Callithrix jacchus: one gene and its partner. The protein of the gene in region 2 purifies or fractionates together with the protein of the main gene of each other region. This does not show direct contact. Links are inferred from orthologs where the notes say so. Each region holds a gene or a part of one and is shown on either strand. Other genes may lie near its edges.

Evidence for each region.
Region 1: the proteins of UBE2R2 (region 2) and FBXW11 purify together in Homo sapiens (affinity purification with mass spectrometry; 4 studies listed by BioGRID and IntAct, with this or other methods). This does not show direct contact. The link is inferred for Callithrix jacchus from reciprocal best matches to the Homo sapiens genes UBE2R2 and FBXW11.

Annotation. Positions count from the first base shown.
Region 1 is NC_133503.1:64,153,033-64,161,715, forward strand, and holds part of FBXW11 (F-box/WD repeat-containing protein 11), read right to left. Parts: intron 4,826-8,683; coding exon 4,707-4,825; intron 2,544-4,706; coding exon 2,294-2,543; intron 1-2,293.
Region 2 is NC_133502.1:140,776,820-140,785,502, reverse strand, and holds part of UBE2R2 (ubiquitin-conjugating enzyme E2 R2), read right to left. Parts: intron 5,761-8,683; coding exon 5,626-5,760; intron 1-5,625. UniProt on the Homo sapiens protein: E2 ubiquitin-conjugating enzyme that accepts ubiquitin from an E1 ubiquitin-activating protein, and catalyzes its covalent attachment to other proteins by an E3 ubiquitin-protein ligase complex.

The DNA of each region.
Region 1 (8,683 bases), on a different chromosome or scaffold from region 2:
CAAAATGGATTAAGGACCTAAACGTAAGCACTGAAACTATGCAAGTCTTGATAAATTGAACATCATCCAAATTAAAATCATTTGTGCATCAGAGGACATCATCATTTGTGCATCACTTTTCACCATCAAAAAAGTGAAAAGACAGCCTACAGAGAAAGGCAGAAAATATTTGCAAATCATGTATCGCAGAAGGGATTTGTGTCCGAATATATAAAGAACTTATAACTCAACAATAAAAAGACAAATTTTTAAAGTGGGTAAAAGATTTAAATATACATTTCTCTAGAGAAGCTACACAAATGGCCAATAAAGATACAAAATGTTGTTTAGCATCATCAGTAATAAGGGAATGCAAAGCAAAACCAAAGAAATACCATTGAACATATAGGGCATATAAAATAAAGGGACAAATAATAACAAGTGTTGGCAGGGATATGGAGAAATCCTCCAGGCTGATATTATGAAACAGCTGTTTTGTAATAAAGCTCAAACCCTCTCAACTTCCAGGCACTGGTCTCATACCAACTGGTGTGATTGTGGGAGTAAGTCACTGCATACAAATCCTAGTTGTTAGCTTCCCAACTATCCCATCTAAAGCGTGATGCTACATACTTTGTGATTTGTGGGGTTAATTATAAGAATGCTATCCAATGCTGCTCATGAAAAGGAGGTTCTTTGAACAAGCTCAAACTCTCATATACCACTGGCAGGATTGTAAAATGGTGCAGCACCTTTGGAAAACAGTTTGGCAGTTCCTCAAATGCTAAACATAAGCCTGGGCAACAAAGTGAGACCCAATCTCTACGAAAAAAAAAGGTTGGGGGGTGGCAGGGGACGCATAGTAGTGCCTATACTCCCAACTATTCTAGGAGGCCTAGGTGGGAGCCTCTGGGGTCCCTGAGCTCAGGGACTGCTTGACCCCAGGTCAAGGCTGAAGTGAGACATGACTGTGCCACTGCATTCCAGCCTGGGTGACAAAGTGAGACCCTGTCTTCAAAAGAAAAGGAAAGCTAAACACAGAGTTACCACCCTAAGAGAATTAAAAACACGAAAACTTCTACAATATTTATAGCAGCATCATTAATAATAGTCAAAAAATGGAAACAACTAAAATGTCCATCAATTAATAACAGATAAACAATGAAACTTTATTCAGCCACTGGAAGCAACGAAGTACTGGCCAGGTATGGTGGCTCATGCCTATAATCCCAACACCTTGGGAGGCCGAGGACTACTTGAGCCCAGGAGTCCAAGACCACTCTGTGCAATATAGCAAGACCCCATCTCTACTTTAAAAAAAAAAAAAAAAAAAAAAAACAGCAGAAGGAACAAAGCTGATTGTATGCTACAAGGCATATGATGAATCTTAAAAATATTACAATAAGTCAAAGAAGCGATAAAGAAAAGGCCACATCGTGTATTCTTCCATTTCTATGAAGTGTTTAGAATAGGCCAATCCCAAAACGGAAGACAGATGAGATTACCAGAGACTGGGAGGAAACACAAGCTGACTGCTAATGAGTGTGGGGGTTTTAGAGAGTGATGAAAATGTTCTGGAACTAGACAAGAGTGATGTTATAAAACACTGCAAATGTACTAAGGGGCATGGAATTACGCCCTTTAAAGTGTTCAATCTTATGGTATGGAAACTAAACCTCGGTAAAGCTGTTATAAAAACACAAGAAAGCTAAAAATTCAAAAGAGTTGGTTTGGATATTGGAATCAGGACTGCGTTTACCATATCCTAGGGATCACCCTAGACTTCAGCTCCTTGTCACAAGTCTGCCTCCCACTTTACTGCATGCTAAGCTTCTTGAAGGCAAGGACATGTCTTCATCATCACATCCCTAGCATCCAGCCCAGAGTCCACCACATGGTGAAAAAATTAAATCGAAGCTCTGCCACTAACTAGCTGTGATGATCACCAACACAATCGTTTACTCTCTGAGCCACATGTGTAAAATCAGGCAACACCTACCTCAAAAGAGTGCTAGAAGTGTTAACTGAGACAGTAAAGTAAAGCTCTCAAGACAATACATGCTCAACAGGTTAGCTCTCTTCCCCTTAAAAAAGTGATCAAGAATGTCATTTCATTAAATAGAAGACTGTTCTCTCTTCTGGACCCATGGCTTTTCCTCCTACCTTGCCTACGACTCTAGAGGTATACAGATGGTTCATGAGCACACAGGAGAATAAAGATCTTTCCAGGTACCCGGTTGGTATAAGCCACTTCTGCTTTCCCTGTTCTAAAAGGGACAGGAGCAGGTAGGGTTATAACTGCAGACACACTTACTTTGATAGTCCTGTCGCCAGAGGCAGACACGATGTACTTGTCATCAAAGTCTACTACGTTGACAGCAGCCCGGTGGCCAACCAGGACACGGCGTAAAGTGATATCAGTTGCAGAAGCCATGTCCCACACAGCAATGGAGCGGTCTTTGGAACAGGTCACCATCAGTCCATTGCTGAAGCGTAAGTGCAGTACAGCCTCATTGTGATGGATTAATGTGTTAAGAACTTCACCCGTGTTCACATCCCACACTCTAGTAGAGAAAAGAAAAGCATGATGCTTAATTATTGAGACAGCCAGGAAATGATTCTGGTATCTGAGCTCTGCTTGGGTCTGCAATGGTTTGGATATGGTTTGACTCCACCAAATCTCATGCTGAAATTGATCCTCAGTGTTGGAGGTAGGGCCTGGCAGGAGGTGTCTGGGTCATGGTGGTGGATCACTCATGAATGGCTTGGTGCCATTCTCATAAGAGGGAGTTCACTCTTAGTTCCTGAGAGAATTGGTTGTTGAAAAGGGCCTAGCATCTCCTCCCTCTCTCTTGCTTTCCTCTCACATGTAATCTGCACATGCTGGCTACCCTTTGCCTTCTGACATGAGTAGAGGTAGCTCAAAACCCTCATCAGAAGCAGATACTGGTATATGCCTCTTGGAGAGCCTGCAGAACCATGAGTCAAATAAGCCCCTTTTCTTTATAAATTACCCAGCCTCAGGTATTCCTTTATAGCAACATAAATGGACAAAGACAGAGCCCATTCTTAATGAACCTAACAACATGATTAAAAGTAGGCCCTAAAAGTAATGTCTTTATTGCTAAGAGGTGCTAAGATGGTTTCAAACAAGGTGGCTAATTCTGGCTCTGCTCGAGTTTAGGTATATTTAGCAGTCAGGTATTCAGAGATGGTGTTTGCAGGCTTGTGCTGATAGAAAAGACGATTCCTTCAAGAAAGTAAATTTTGCAGTGAGTCTGAGATGACAGGAAGAAGGAATCTTGACAGCTGAAGAAGTGAGAATAGTTCCAAGCTTCCAGTTCTTGTTGACCTCTGACAGGCCTCTGAGTCTATTATTTATCCACTGCAAATTGGGTAAGTCATGATGCCTCATCAATCATCACATCCACTTCTTTATCCGGCTGCTTTATGGACAAAGCCAGGATCTAGCAACTGCTTTGTACATCCAGGGATTTGGGGGCAGCACCTCCACATCATGGCTTTTTTGTAACCCTCATTTCCTTAGAGGACAAGTTCACACAGGGCAGAGGAGAAAAGACTCAGGCCTCTGAGGCTCAGACACAATCTCTGGCAGAAGCAGTGGTACAGAAGCAATGAGTCCAGAGGAGGATACTAGGCGTGCTTTAAACGGGTGGTGAGAGTGTCCAGGAGTGAAGTGAGAGGCTAATAACAACAACTAACATAAAGAGGAGTGAAAAGGGGAGAACGTGGGTATCCAAAGACAGACTCAGTGACCATTCCAATCGCTTAGGCTCGTGTACCTGTAAAACAATCCTCTTCAAATATCTGACCCAACCCAGAAGAGCTGTTTCCTTCTCTTTCACATTTCCTCCAGATACCAGTAGTCTTGCTGAGGCTTTCCTGTGTGACCTACAGCTCTGATGGCCTCATCACTACACCCAACTCCCAAGCCCATCTGGTGTGAAAAAAATGCGTTTATCCCAGAGGTATAGGAATGGATATCAATAATGTTCCCTTTCTACTCGCTCACCTCTTACCCAAACGTCATTGCTTTCCTTGTACTGCAGAACATTGCCACTTTCATCTTCATCATTCTGCCACTCAGTGACAAATGAAAATCAGTGCTTCCACTACTGGCAAGGCTACATATACAGTCATGACTTGAATCAATTCAAGGTTCAAAATTTATTAATTCTGTGACTCTGAGCAAATTATTTAATCTCTCTGGTCTTGGTTTCCTAATACAACTCCAAAAATGGAGGTAACATCTGCCTCTTCAGAAAGGTTGATGTGAGAACTGATAAAATGATACAGAGTACCGAGTATACTATCCGCTCTCACATTTTACTTTCCTGGTGTTGCTGAAAAGATTCTGCAAACTGCTTTTGAGTCTTTCAGTATTTGTAGGTGGTGCCCACCACACTCCTAGAATAGCTGCCTTCCTCCTCTCTGCTCTGGACCACAGTTTCCCAAAAGGAAAAAGCCAGACTAATACTTGGTATGTGCTCGTACAGGAAAGCATGTTATCATCTCTAAAATGAACAGCAACACTCTTAAATTAGCTGTTTTGCCTAATTTGCTCAAACATATCTACAACAAAAGTAGTTTGAAACACAGCCTGTAAAAATGTATGCAAAGTTTATGTATGCCTCTCCCAGAGGAGGATGTCAATCACAGACTTTCTCAGGGAAGGCTTACAAGATCAACAAAGCCAGATCACTCACCTCACTGTAGAATCTGAAGAGCCAGTTACAATGACACGCTCATCATATTGCAGGCAGAGGACAGAGCCTGTGTGTCCTGTTAACACTTTCAAACATTCCAGGCTGGTTTTATCCCAAATCTATTGAGACAAGATTAGCCACAAACAACGATTTATTATTATACTATATTTTGATGAATATTACTGTCCCACCTTATGTTCTGATTATAAAATGAAATACTTGGGTTATAGTAAATAAGAAACATTGAATATCAAACAGGTAAGAAACAAGTAGGAATACAGACAATAGTGGTTAACTACTAGGATAGATGTGCTATTTTGTTTAATTTGAACCCTTAGCTATTAATCTCATTACACTTACCAATGGCCTCATAAAGGGAACTTTTAAAAAATAAAATCTGTGAAAAGAAGTCACTCACTGGCTGGGTGCTATGGCTCATGCCTGTAATCCCAACACTTTGGGAGGCAGAGACAGAAGTATCACTTGAGCCCAGAAGTTCAATACCAGCCTGGGAAACCCATCTCCACAAATTTTATATATGTTTTTTTTTTTTTTTTTAATTAGCCAGGCATGGTGGTGTCTGCCTGTAGTCCCAGCAACTCGGGAGGCTAAGGTGACAGGATTGCTTGAGCCCAGGAGGCAAGGCTGCAGTGAGTCACAATCACACCACTGTACTCCAGCCGGGGTGACAAGGCAGGACCCTGCTTTTCCATTTTATTTTATGTCTCGTAAAAATAAAGAAGTGGCTCAATCTCTGGAAAGCAACATGACAACATAACTATTAAGACCTTTTAAAAATGCATACCCCTATGTTTACAAAAATAAAATGTCCAACATTTCATAAAAGTCTCAAAGTAAACTATGAAGAGTTTTTAATGAGAAAATATCATGCTTCATTACAAAGTTAAGCATTTTTAAAAATCAGAATAAAAATTATAAAGTGACACAATGACTATGTATATACTGCAGAAAAGGAAAAAAGGATTAAAGGAAGGAAATTGTTATTAATAGTTGTTTTCATACTCCTGAGTGTTCCTTTTCTCGCTTCTTTTACGGCTTCCACAGATTTGTCTTTTCTAGAATGTCACAGAGTTGGAATCATACAGTATGTAGCCTTTTTAGATTGGCTTCTTTCACATAGTAATACACATTTAAACTTCCTCCCTGTCTTTTCATGGCTTGATATACGTTCCTTTTTAGTGCTGAAAATTATCCCTGTTGTCTAGATGTACTACAGTTTATTTATCCATATACCTACTGAAGGACACCTTGGTTGCTTCCAAGTTTGGGCAATTATGGGCAAAGCTGCCATAAACATCTGGGTCCAGGCTTTTGTGTAGACATAAGTTTTTGATTCCGTTGTGTAAATATTAAGTCGCACAACTGCTGGATCATATGGTAAAAGTATGTTTAGTTTTGTAAGAACTGCCAAACTGCCTTACAACGTGGCTGTACCATTTTGTATTTCCACCAGCAGTGAATTCAAGCTCCTGTTCCTGTTGCTCCACATGCTCGCCAGCATTGGGTGTTGTCAGTGTTCTGGATTTTGTCCATGCTAACAGGTGTGCAGTGGTGTCTCATTGTTATAATCCACATTTCCCTGATGACTTACGTGGAACATCTTGTCACATGCTTATATGCCATCTGTGTATCTTCTTTGGTGACATGTCTGTTAAGGTCTATGCCTTATTTTTTTTTTTTAATAGGTTAATTAATTTTCTAACTGTTGAGATTCAAGAGCTCTTTCTATGTCTTTTGCATATATTTTCTCTCGTCTGTGGCTTGTTTTTTCATTCTCTGGACAATGTCTCTCACAGAACAGAAATTTTTTATTTTAATGAAGTCCAGCTTATTCTTTCTTTAATGAAGCATGCCTTTGACATTGTATCTAAAAAGTCACCAACAAACTCAAGATCATGTGGGTTTTCTACTATATTGTATTCTACAAATTTTATGGTTTTCTGTTTTACATCTAGGCCTTTAATCCATTTTGATTTAATTTTTGTGAAGTATATAGGATCTGTGTCTGTATTATTTGGGAGTAAAGGAGGCAATATGGTGTCTAGTTGCTTCTGCCCAATTGCTGAAGAGACTATCTTTTCTCCATTGTATTACCTTTGTAAAAGATCAGGTGACTATATTTGTGAAGGTATGTATTTCTGGGCTCTCTATTCTTTTCCATGGATCTAGCTGTCCATTCTGTTGCCAGCACCACACCGTCGTGATTACTGCAGTTTTACAGTAATTCCTAAAGTAGTGTTAATCCTCTGTCTTTATTTTCCTTCAATATCCATGCTGGCTTTTGCTTCATATAAAGTCAGCTGGTAGATATCCACAAAATAGCTTGCTGAGTTTTTGACTGAGAGGGCATTGAACCTACAGACCCATTTGGGAAGAAATAACTGACATCCTCACAACAGTCTTCCTGCCCATGAGCATGAAATATCTCTCCATTTATTTAGTTGTTTGATTTCTTGAATCAGAGTTTGACAGTTTTAGTCACACAGATCCCATAAATATTTTGTTAGATTTATACCTAAGTTTTTCATTTGGGATGGGGGGTTGCTAATAGGAATATTATTGTATTTTTTGTTTTGGGTGGGGATGCTAATATAAATATTACTGTGTTTTTTGTTTTGGTTTTGAGATGGAGTCTCGCTCTGTCACCTAAGCTGGAGTGTAGAGGTATACGATCTTGGCTCACTGCAACCTCCACCTCCCAGGTTCAAGCGATTCTCCTGCCTCAGCCTCCTGAGTAGCTAGGACTACAGGTGCATGCCATGAGGCCCAGCTAATTTTTGTACTTTTAGTAGAGATGAGGTTTCACCATGTTGGCCAGGCAGGTCACAAACTCCTGACCTCCAATGATCCACACGCCTCAGCCTCCCAAAGTGCTGGGATTTCAGGCATGAGCCACCATTCACAGTTATGTTACTGTGTTTTTAATTTTATATTCCACTTGTTCCTTGCTGGTATATGGGTAAGCAACTGATTTATGTATACTAACCTTGTATCCTGCAACCTTGCTATAATCATTTATTAGTTCTAGGAGGTTTTTTTGCTAATGCTTTTATTTTTTTTCTACAATCATGTCCTCTACAAGCAAAGACAGGTTTACTTCTTCCTTCTTGATTTGTATACCTTTTATTTTCTCTTGTCTTACTGTGTTATCTAGGAGTTCTAATATAATGTTGAAAAGTAGTGGTGAGTAGAGACATCTTTGCCTTATTCCTGATCTTATAGGTTTTTTTGTAGATACTCTTTATCAAGTTAAGAAAGTTCTCCTCTATTCATCGTTTACTAAGGGTTTTTAACATGAGTAAGTGTTCAATTTTGTCAAATGCCTTTTCTGCATCTATTGATGTGATTTTCTTTTTTGGCTTATTGATATGATGGATTATATTAATTGATTCTTGAAGGTTAAATGTGAAGGTAAACCTTGGATACCTAGGACAAATACTTGTTCATATTTAATGCATCTTTTAATATATTGTTGGACTGGGCTTGCCAATATTTTGTTGAGGATTTTTGTGGCCACACTCATGAGTGATAATGGTCTGTGATTTTCTTTTCTTATAATGTCTTTGTGTCTAGTTCAGTACTAAGGTAATGCTGGCCTCATAGAATGAGCAAGGAAATATTCTCTCTGCTTCTATCTTTTGGAAGAGGTTGTAGAGAACTGGTGTTATTTCTTGCTTAAATGTTTGGCAGAATTCACCAGTAACCAATCTGGGCCTAGTGCTTTCTGTTTTGAAAGGTAATTAATTATTGACTTGATTTCTTCAACAGATAAAGACCTATTCAGATTATCCATTTGCTTTTATGACAATTCTGGCAGATTGTGTCTTTCAGGGAATTAATTCACTTCAGATAAATTATCAAATTTGTGGACATGGAGTTGTTCATAATATTCTTTTATTATTCATTTAATATTCATGAGATCTATAGTGATCTCCTCTTTCATTTCTGTATTAGAA
Region 2 (8,683 bases):
CCAGTCTGTGTCTTTTGATTGGTGCATTTAGCCCATTTACATTTAGGGTTAATATTGTTATGCGTGAACTTGATACTAGCTGGCTGTTTTGCCTGTTAGTTGATGCAGATTCTTCATTTTGTTGATGCTCTTCAACATTTGGTGTGTTTTCAGAGTGGCTGGTACTGGTTGTTCCTTTCTACGTGCCTCTTTCAGGAGCTCTTGTAGAGCAGGCCTGATGGTGACAAAATCTCTGAGTACTTGCTTGTTCGCAAAGGATTTTATTTTTCCTTCACTTATGAAGCTCAGTTGGATATGAAATTCTGGGTTGAAAGTTCTTTTCTTTAAGGATGTTGAATATTGGCCCCCACTCTCTTCTGGCTGGTAGGGTTTCTGCCAAGAGATCTGCTTTGAGTCTGATGGGCTTCCCTTTGTGGGTGACCCGAGTGACTTTCTCTCTGGCTGCTCTTAGCATTTTCTCCTTCATTTCAACCCTGGTGAATCTGACGATTATGTGCCTTGGGGTTGCTCTTCTTGTGGAATATCTTTGTTGTGGTCTCTGTATTTCCTGGACTTGAATATTGGCCTGCCTTGCTAGGTTGGGGAAATTTTCCTGGATAATATCCTGAAGAGTATTTTCCAGCTTGGATTCATTCTCTTCGTCCATTCAGGTACACCTATCAAATGTAGATTAGATCTCTTCACCTCATCCCACATTTCTTGGAGACTTTGTTCATTCCTTTTTGCGCTTTTTTCTCTAATATTGGTTTCTCATTTTATTTCATTGAGTTGATCTTCGACTTCTGATATCCTTTCTTCTGCTTGGTCAATTCGGCTGTTGAGACTTGTGCATGCTTCATGAAGTTCTCGTGTTGTGTTTTTCAGCTCCATCAATTCACTCATATTCCTCTCTAAGTTGTCCATTCTTGTTATCATTTCCTCAAATGTTTTTTCCAAGTTCTTAGTTTCTTTGCATTGAGTTAGAACGTGTTCTTTTAGCTCACACAAGTTTCTCATTATTCTCCATCCAGCTTTGTTCCCTTGCTGGTGAGGGGTTGTGGTCCCTTGTAGGAGGCGAGGTGTTCTGGTTTCAGGTGTTTTCCTCCTTTTTGCACTGGTTTTTTCCCATCTTGATGGATTTATCCACCTGTCGTCTGAGTAGTTGCTGACTTTCCAATTGGGTCTCTGAGTGGATGTCTAGATTGTTAATGATGAAGTATTTCTGTTTCTTAGTTTTCTTTCTAACAGTCTAGCCCCACTGCTGTAGGACTGCTGAGGTCCACTCCAGGCCCTGCTTGCCTGGGGAACACCTGTAGCAGCTGCGGAACAGTGAGGGTTGCTACCAGTTTCTTCTTCTGCTATCTTTGTCCCAGAATTATGCCTGCCAAATGTCAGTCTGATCAGTCCTTTGTGAGGTGAGTTTTTGGATATATGGGGGTCAGGGAGCTGCTTGAGGAGACAGTCTGTACTTTATAGGAGCTCAAGTGCTGAGCTGTGAGCTCCATTGTTCATTCAGGGCTGCTACGCAGGTACGTTTAAGTCTGCTGCAGCAGAACTCATAAAGCCCCTTTTTTTCCTCAGGTGCTCTGTCCCGGGGAGTTAGGGCTTTATTTATGAGCATCCGTTGCACTACCCTGCCCAGCAAGGAGGCAGTCTAGTCACTGCCTGCCTGCAGTGGCTATGCTGAGCTGCTCTGGGCTCTGCCCTGCTGCTGTGTGTAATTCCCTGTAGTCCTATTTATATGGGTGTGGTTAGAACTGCCGTGGCAATGGTGGCCCGCCTCTGTAATGGTGGACTGTCTCTGTTATGGCGGGTTGCCTCGGCAACGGCAGGCTGCGCCAGCAATGGCAGAGTACCTCCGTAGAGGTGGAGTGCCTCGGTAATGGCAGATGCCCCTCCTCCTCCGAGCTGCACCATCCTGGGTTCAGCTGTGCTTGCCGTGAAACTCTCAACCCCGAGCGTTTCCAATTGCTGTTTTCTTTGGTTTTGTGGGGGTGGGACCCGCCGAGCCTTATCACCTGGCTCCCTACCTCAGAGCCCTTTTTTTTTTTTTTAAGTTGAACGGTTGACTCTCCCAGGTGTTCCAGTCGCCTGCTGAAAGGGCACCAGGATCTGTGTGATTTCCTGTGCGGCGACCCACTGCGCCAGCTGAAACAACATCACTGCCCAGGAATCTCCTGGGCTAACTGTTTAGGTCCCATTTAATCAGATGAATGTGCTAATCTGCCTTCCCAAATCTCAAATTGCCGGTTTAACAGGGCAACCAGACAAGTGTATTTTGTACGGAGTGCTGCTGCGCTGTGGCGCCAACCGAAACAGCCACGCCGGCTTAAACAGCCACATTGGCGGCCCGTGGGGCTCCTACACCTAGGAATCTCCTGATCTGTGGGCAATAAAGATCCATCTGGAAATGTGGCGTCCACTCACCCTCTGTGCTTTCACTGGGAGCTGCAATCCTGAGTTGCTCCTATAGTGCCATCTTCTCCTCTCCTCTCTTTTTTTTTTTTTTTGAAGACAGAGTCCTGCTCTGTTGCCTAGGCTGGAGTGCAGTGGCGTGATCTCAGCTCACTACAACCACTGCCTCCCAGGTTCAAGCAATTCTCCTGCCTCAGTCTCCCAAGTAGCTGGGACTACAGGTGTGCACCACTGTACCCAACTAAATTTTGTATTTTTTTTTTGGTAGAGACAGGGTTTCACCATGTTGACCAGGTTGATCTTGGACTCCTGACCTCAGGTGATTCACCTGCCTCCGAAAGTGCTGGGATTACAGGTGTGAGCCACCGCACCAGGCAGCCAATTGTCTTTTATCAGAACTCTCTTCCCTCCCAAAAATACTTAAGTGGTACCCCATCACCTCTTAGATTAAGATACTCTCTTATCATGACTTCAATGTATTTTAAGACCTGGTACCTCTCTTGCTTAATTTTCTAATATTTCTGACATCAGAACTTATAGGCATGAGCCACCATGCCTAATTTTTTTGTAGAGATGGATTTTGCCACATTGCCCATGCTGGTCTCAAACTCCTGAGCTCAAGTGATCCGCCTGCCTCATCCCCACTACTACTGCCTCAATTTAGTCCATGTCAGTCCCCTGTCCAACTGAAGTAGGACAGTTTGAGCCCTGGAGCCAGAGGTTGCAGTGAGTAGAAATTGCATCACTGTACTCCAGGCTGGGTGAAAGTGGGAGACTGTCTCAAAAAAATAGTCAAGCATTTGTAACTGACTTCACATGCATGTCATGCTATTATAATCCTGTATTGTAGCAAACATGGGTGTTTTCCTTCCCTTTTTTCACCTGAAAAATTATTGGTTATGAGGAATTATCTCTGCTAGAAATTATTACATTATATATTTCTCCCAATGTTTCTTGTTTAAGCTTCTATAGGTATAATTATACATGGTCGTTTGTTTTTAAATGCTATTAAGTGAGCTCCCTAAGGAGACATGCTCTGTCTTAATGAGTACCTGATACAAAGTTGTTGCTGAGTGTCAGGCACTGTGCTAGGTAATTAAGGCATAGATATAATGAGATAAAGGGACCCTTAAATTAAGAAATATATAGAAGTACCTTAAAAATATGTATACATAAGCTTTCTGATCCTTCAATCCTTAGTACACTCCCATGCCTCTAGATTTATGTAGGATCTTACTATTTATACTAATTATCTTCAATTTTTGGTATGTATCAGTCACCTAGGTGAGATATATACATACAAACAGATTCTCAAACTCTGTCCTTGTAATCTCATAAAAGACAGCTGTCATTTAGGGACAGTCTAAAGGTGATCCCAATGGGCAGAAAACTTAGAACTGCTGATTTTATTACTCAGCAGTCACCTCATGTGCTTTCCCAGCATTGTTCTAACTTTTTTCATATCACTTGGTCTCTAGCCAACTAGATTTTACTCTTATTTGTATAAATGCCAGTGCTTACTGAACTCCTATGCACAAAAGTAAGCTGTAACTGTATTTAGGGTCTGTATTTTAAAAAATTAAAATCTAACATCAAATGGGGTTGAGGCCAGGCCCAGTGGCTCACACCAAATCCCAGAGCTTTGGAAGGCTGAGGCAGGAGGATCAGTTGAAGCCAAGAGTTCAAGACCAGGCTAGGCAACATAGCAAGACCTTGGCTCTACAAAAAATAATAATAGAAATTAGCTGAGTGTGGTGGTACATGCTTATAGTCTTGGTTGCTGAGGTGGGAGGACTGCCTGAGCCCAGGAATTCAGGTTACCATGGGCTGTGATAACACCACTGCACTCCAGCCTGGGCAACAGAGGGAGACCATGTTTCTTTAAAAAGAGGTGGAGGAGGCTGGGTGCAGTCGCTCACGCCTGTAATCCCAGCACTTTGAGAGGCCGAGTTGTCTGGATCACAAGGTCAGGAGTTTGAGACCAGCCTGGCCAACATGGTAAAACCCTGTTGCTACTAAAAATGCAAAATATTAGCCAGGCATGGTGGTGGGTGCCTGTAATCCCAGCTACTCAGGAAGATGAGGCAGGAGAATCACTTGAACCCTGGAGGCGGAGGTTGCAGTGAGCTGAGATCATGCCACTGCACCCTGGCCTGGGTGACAGAGTAAGAATGTAAAAAATAATAATAATTTAAATAAAGAGGTGGAGGGTGGGGGAAGGGTAGGGTTTGTATTTGCAAATTTTTTGGGTACTATTAGAAGAACCTGATGTCCTAAGAGATTAAAGGTTGAGCTTTTTTCCATTATACATAGAGAAGAAAGTAAAAGAACCCAAAAATTAATCATTTTGGACTAATTATTTGTGGGACCATTTTTCATAATAGCAGAGCCACTAGTAGATTCCAAATCCCTTGAATCTTATTCTAGGGTTCTGTTATACCACACATTAGTGTTGCTGAGAATGAGGATTTCCAAGATACTTGCTGCTATGGTCAGGAATGCCAATAAACTAGAAGGCTTTATTTATTCAATTTTTTTTTTTTTTTTTTTTAAGATGGAGTGTCGCCCAGGCTGGAGTGTAGTGGTGCAATCTTGGCTCACTGCAACCTTCACTTCCTGGGTTCAACCAATTCTCCTGCCTCAACCTCCTGAGTAGCTGGGATTACAGGCATGCACCACCACACCTGGCTAATTTTTGTGTAGAGATGGGGTTTCACCATGTTGGCCAGGCTGGTCTCAAACTCCTGACCTCAGTGATCTACCTGCCTCAGCCTCCCAACGCACTGGGATTACAGGCATGAGCCACTGTGCCGGGCCTATTTATTCAAATTTTGAAAACAAAATTACTCTGTCTTACGTACACCTGATACTCTGTCCTATGTACCTGGAAAATCTGGAGTACCTTGGGTAATTGCGTTTGCTACACTTAACCAATATGTTCTAGAACAAGGTCCCTAAAATGATTAAAAGACACTTTGCAAACTTGTCTAGTTAAGAACCTAGAAGTTCTGGTTTCTAGAAAATCAGGTCTGCTACTGCATTATCTAGCGAAGTTCACTGGGCTCAGGCAGAAATCTTCTCTTCCCACACTATAAATCTAATTGAGGAAAATTATCCTGGAATGGACAGGATATTTAAGTTTGATGTAAAACCTTGGTTCCAGAATATATTTTGGTTTTGTATAATGACTTGAGGTAATTAAAAAAAAAAAAAAAAACCAAAGCAACTTACCTAATGATTTCAGCATATTCTTTGTCTTTTCCTTTACTGTCTCTCCATTTCCTGAACATAACTGAAGCATCGACGTTGGCTGGGGAGAAGGTGTTGGGCTCATTAAGCAGTGAGATTACACTTAATAGGATAGTCCTAGAAACAGGAAAAAAGGGTCAGCTATGAATACCCATATTTACAGTATTTAAAACTTCTGCTTTTTAAGAAAGTACAATCGGATTTCAAATTTTCCCTCCCTTAAAATTTTTCTGATACAATTTAATTTGAGACCGTGGGGGATTAGAGAAGATCATAAATTTGTATTGATGGTTTTCATAAAAGGCATTTAAGAAAAATAAGATTTAAAAAATTTTCTTCAGAAACAAGCTGCTGTTAGGCAAAGCAGAGAAAATCTGTGATTCTAGTATAAGGATAATGCACAAAGCATAAAAATGAACTTGATGGAAAGCCCTGTCTCAACTAGCTGCATGTTCCAATCTGCAGAAAGTGGATGTCTTAGAAGCTTTCAAATATTGTTTATTTTTACAATTACAAATTAAATGGCATGAGGGGAAAAGCTTAAAATATTTAGCTTCTCAAAACTCCTGTGCTGATCAGTAGTGGGATCATGCCTGTGAATAGCCACCGTACTCCAGCCTGGGCAACATAGTGAGACCCTGTCTCCAAAAAATTTTTAAAAAGAGAGAAAAAATATTTAATTTCAAGGCAATCTTGATGTGGAACGGGGTAAAAATGACACTATTCTATATAACCAGGTTTGTGGGTTTGTGTTTGTTTTGTTTGTTTTTTGTTTTTGAGACGGAGTTTCGCTCCTGTCGCCCAGGCAATGGAACGATCTTGGCTCACTACAACAACAGTCTCCCAAGTTCAAGCGATTCTCTTGCCTCAGCCTCCTGAGCAGCTGGGATTACAAGCATGCACCACCACACCTGGCTAATTTTATATTTTTAATAGATACGGGGTTTCTCCATGTTGGTCAGGCTGGTCTCGAACTCCCAACCTCAGGTGATCTGCCCGCCTCAGCCTTCCACAGTGCTGGGATTACAGGCGTAAGCCACTACACCCGGCTCAGTTTTTTTTTTTTGTTTTTTTTTTTTGAGACAGAGTCTTGCTCTGTCTCCCAGGATGCAGTGCAGTGGCATGGTCTCAGCTCACTGTAACCTCTGCCTCCCGTGTTTAAGTGATTCTCCTGCCTCAGTCTCCTGAGTAGCTGGGATTACAGGCATGTGCCACCACGCCTAGCTCATTTTTGTATTTTTAGTAGGGAGAGGGTTTTGCAGTGTTGGCCAGGCTGGTCCTGAACTCCTGGCCTTAAGTGATCTGCCCATCTTGGCCTCCCAAAGTGCTTGGATTACACGCATGAGCCACCATGCCCAGCCCTATATAACCAGTTTTTATTGTGGCCTCTTAAATGACCTGAAAAAGAGTGCTACAAATATATTTTTTCCATACTTAGAAGACAGAGTTAAGCAGGAGAATGGAGGAAAAGCAGAATCCTCCAAACAAAAGAATTAGAATCTCTGAATAACAGAAATTTTCATTCAAAGGTATTTACTATGTACCTACTGTGTGCCAGAGGCACCAAGTGAGATGTAAAATGGATGTACAGTATACAATGCTGAGCAAGTTAGATGCCATCCCCTGGTCTCCCAGGGCTTACAAATCTAGTGGGTGTTACAAAAGGCCAGTTTTCATCCACAGATAAAAATTAGACATTTCATAGCCGGGCACGGTGGCTCAAGCCTGTAATCCCAGCACTTTGGGAGGCTGAGGTGGGTGGATCACAAGGTCAATGGATCGAGACCATCCTGGTCAACATGGTGAAACCCCGTCTCTACTAAAAATACAAAAAATTAGCTGGGCATGGTGGCGCGTGCCTGTAATCCCAGCTACTCAGGAGGCTGAGACAGGAGAATTGCCTGAACCCAGGAGGTGGAGGTTGCGGTGAGCCAAGATCGCGCCATTGCACTCCAGCCTGGGTAACAAGAGCGAAACTCCGTCTCAAAAAAGAAAAAAAAAAAAAAATTAAACATTCCAAATAATCAGGGAATAAAGTTTTTGTTAGAAAGTCTTGGCTTCAAAACAGTTCCAAATTACTCCTAGGCTTTTCCCCCTAAACAATTGTGTGCATTAGGAGAAAAATGGGAGGAAAGATGAAATGTCTCTATCTTTCCTCACTGATAAGAGATTGTGCTGCAAAAATAGCCTTTTGCTCCTGGCCCCAAGCAAAAAACAAAGGGAGGAAAACAGGCAATTAGATGTTTGATCTGATGAAAACTTTTCCTTAAAATGGTTAAGAATTTCTGTTATACGATTATACAAGATTATGACAAAGGCATTTTCAAAGAAAACTTTTCTATCTAGTTAGAATCCATTGATCACACATGCTCCTTTCTGTTAGGTTAAGGAGAACTCCTTGGCCTTCCTCCCCTAAGAGCCTTCTGGATTTCTTCAGTAATTACATTAAAAAGAGTCAAAGAAGGCCAGGTAAGGTTGCTCACGTCTGTAATCAAAGCACCTTAGGAGGCCGAGGCAGGTGGATCACAAGGTCAGGAGATTGAGACCATCCTGGCTAACATGGTGAAACCCTGTCTCTACTAAAAATACAAAAAATTAGCCGGGTGTGGTGGCATGCCCCTATAGCCCCAGCTACTCAGGAGGATGAGGCGAGAGAATTGCTTGAACCCAGGAGGTGCAGGTTGCAGTGAGCCCAGATTGAACTACTGCACTCAGCCTGGGTGAAAGAGCGAGACTGTGTCTCAAAACAAAAAAAAAGAAAGAAGGAAAGAAAGAAACTCATCACTGCCAACGTAGAAAATGGATGGACAAGTGTTCAAGTGGTTCTTCTGCCTTAGCCTCTAGCCTTGACCAGGCTGGTCTTGAACTCCTGACCTCAAGTGATCCACTGGCCTCGGCCTCCCAAGGTGCTGGGATTATAGGTGTGAGTCACCATGGCTGGCTGGAAAAATAGCTTAAATTGTCTAGATCAGTACTGTCCATTAACAACTTTCTATGATGATGATTATGTTGATGTATAACCTATGCTGTTCAATAAAGT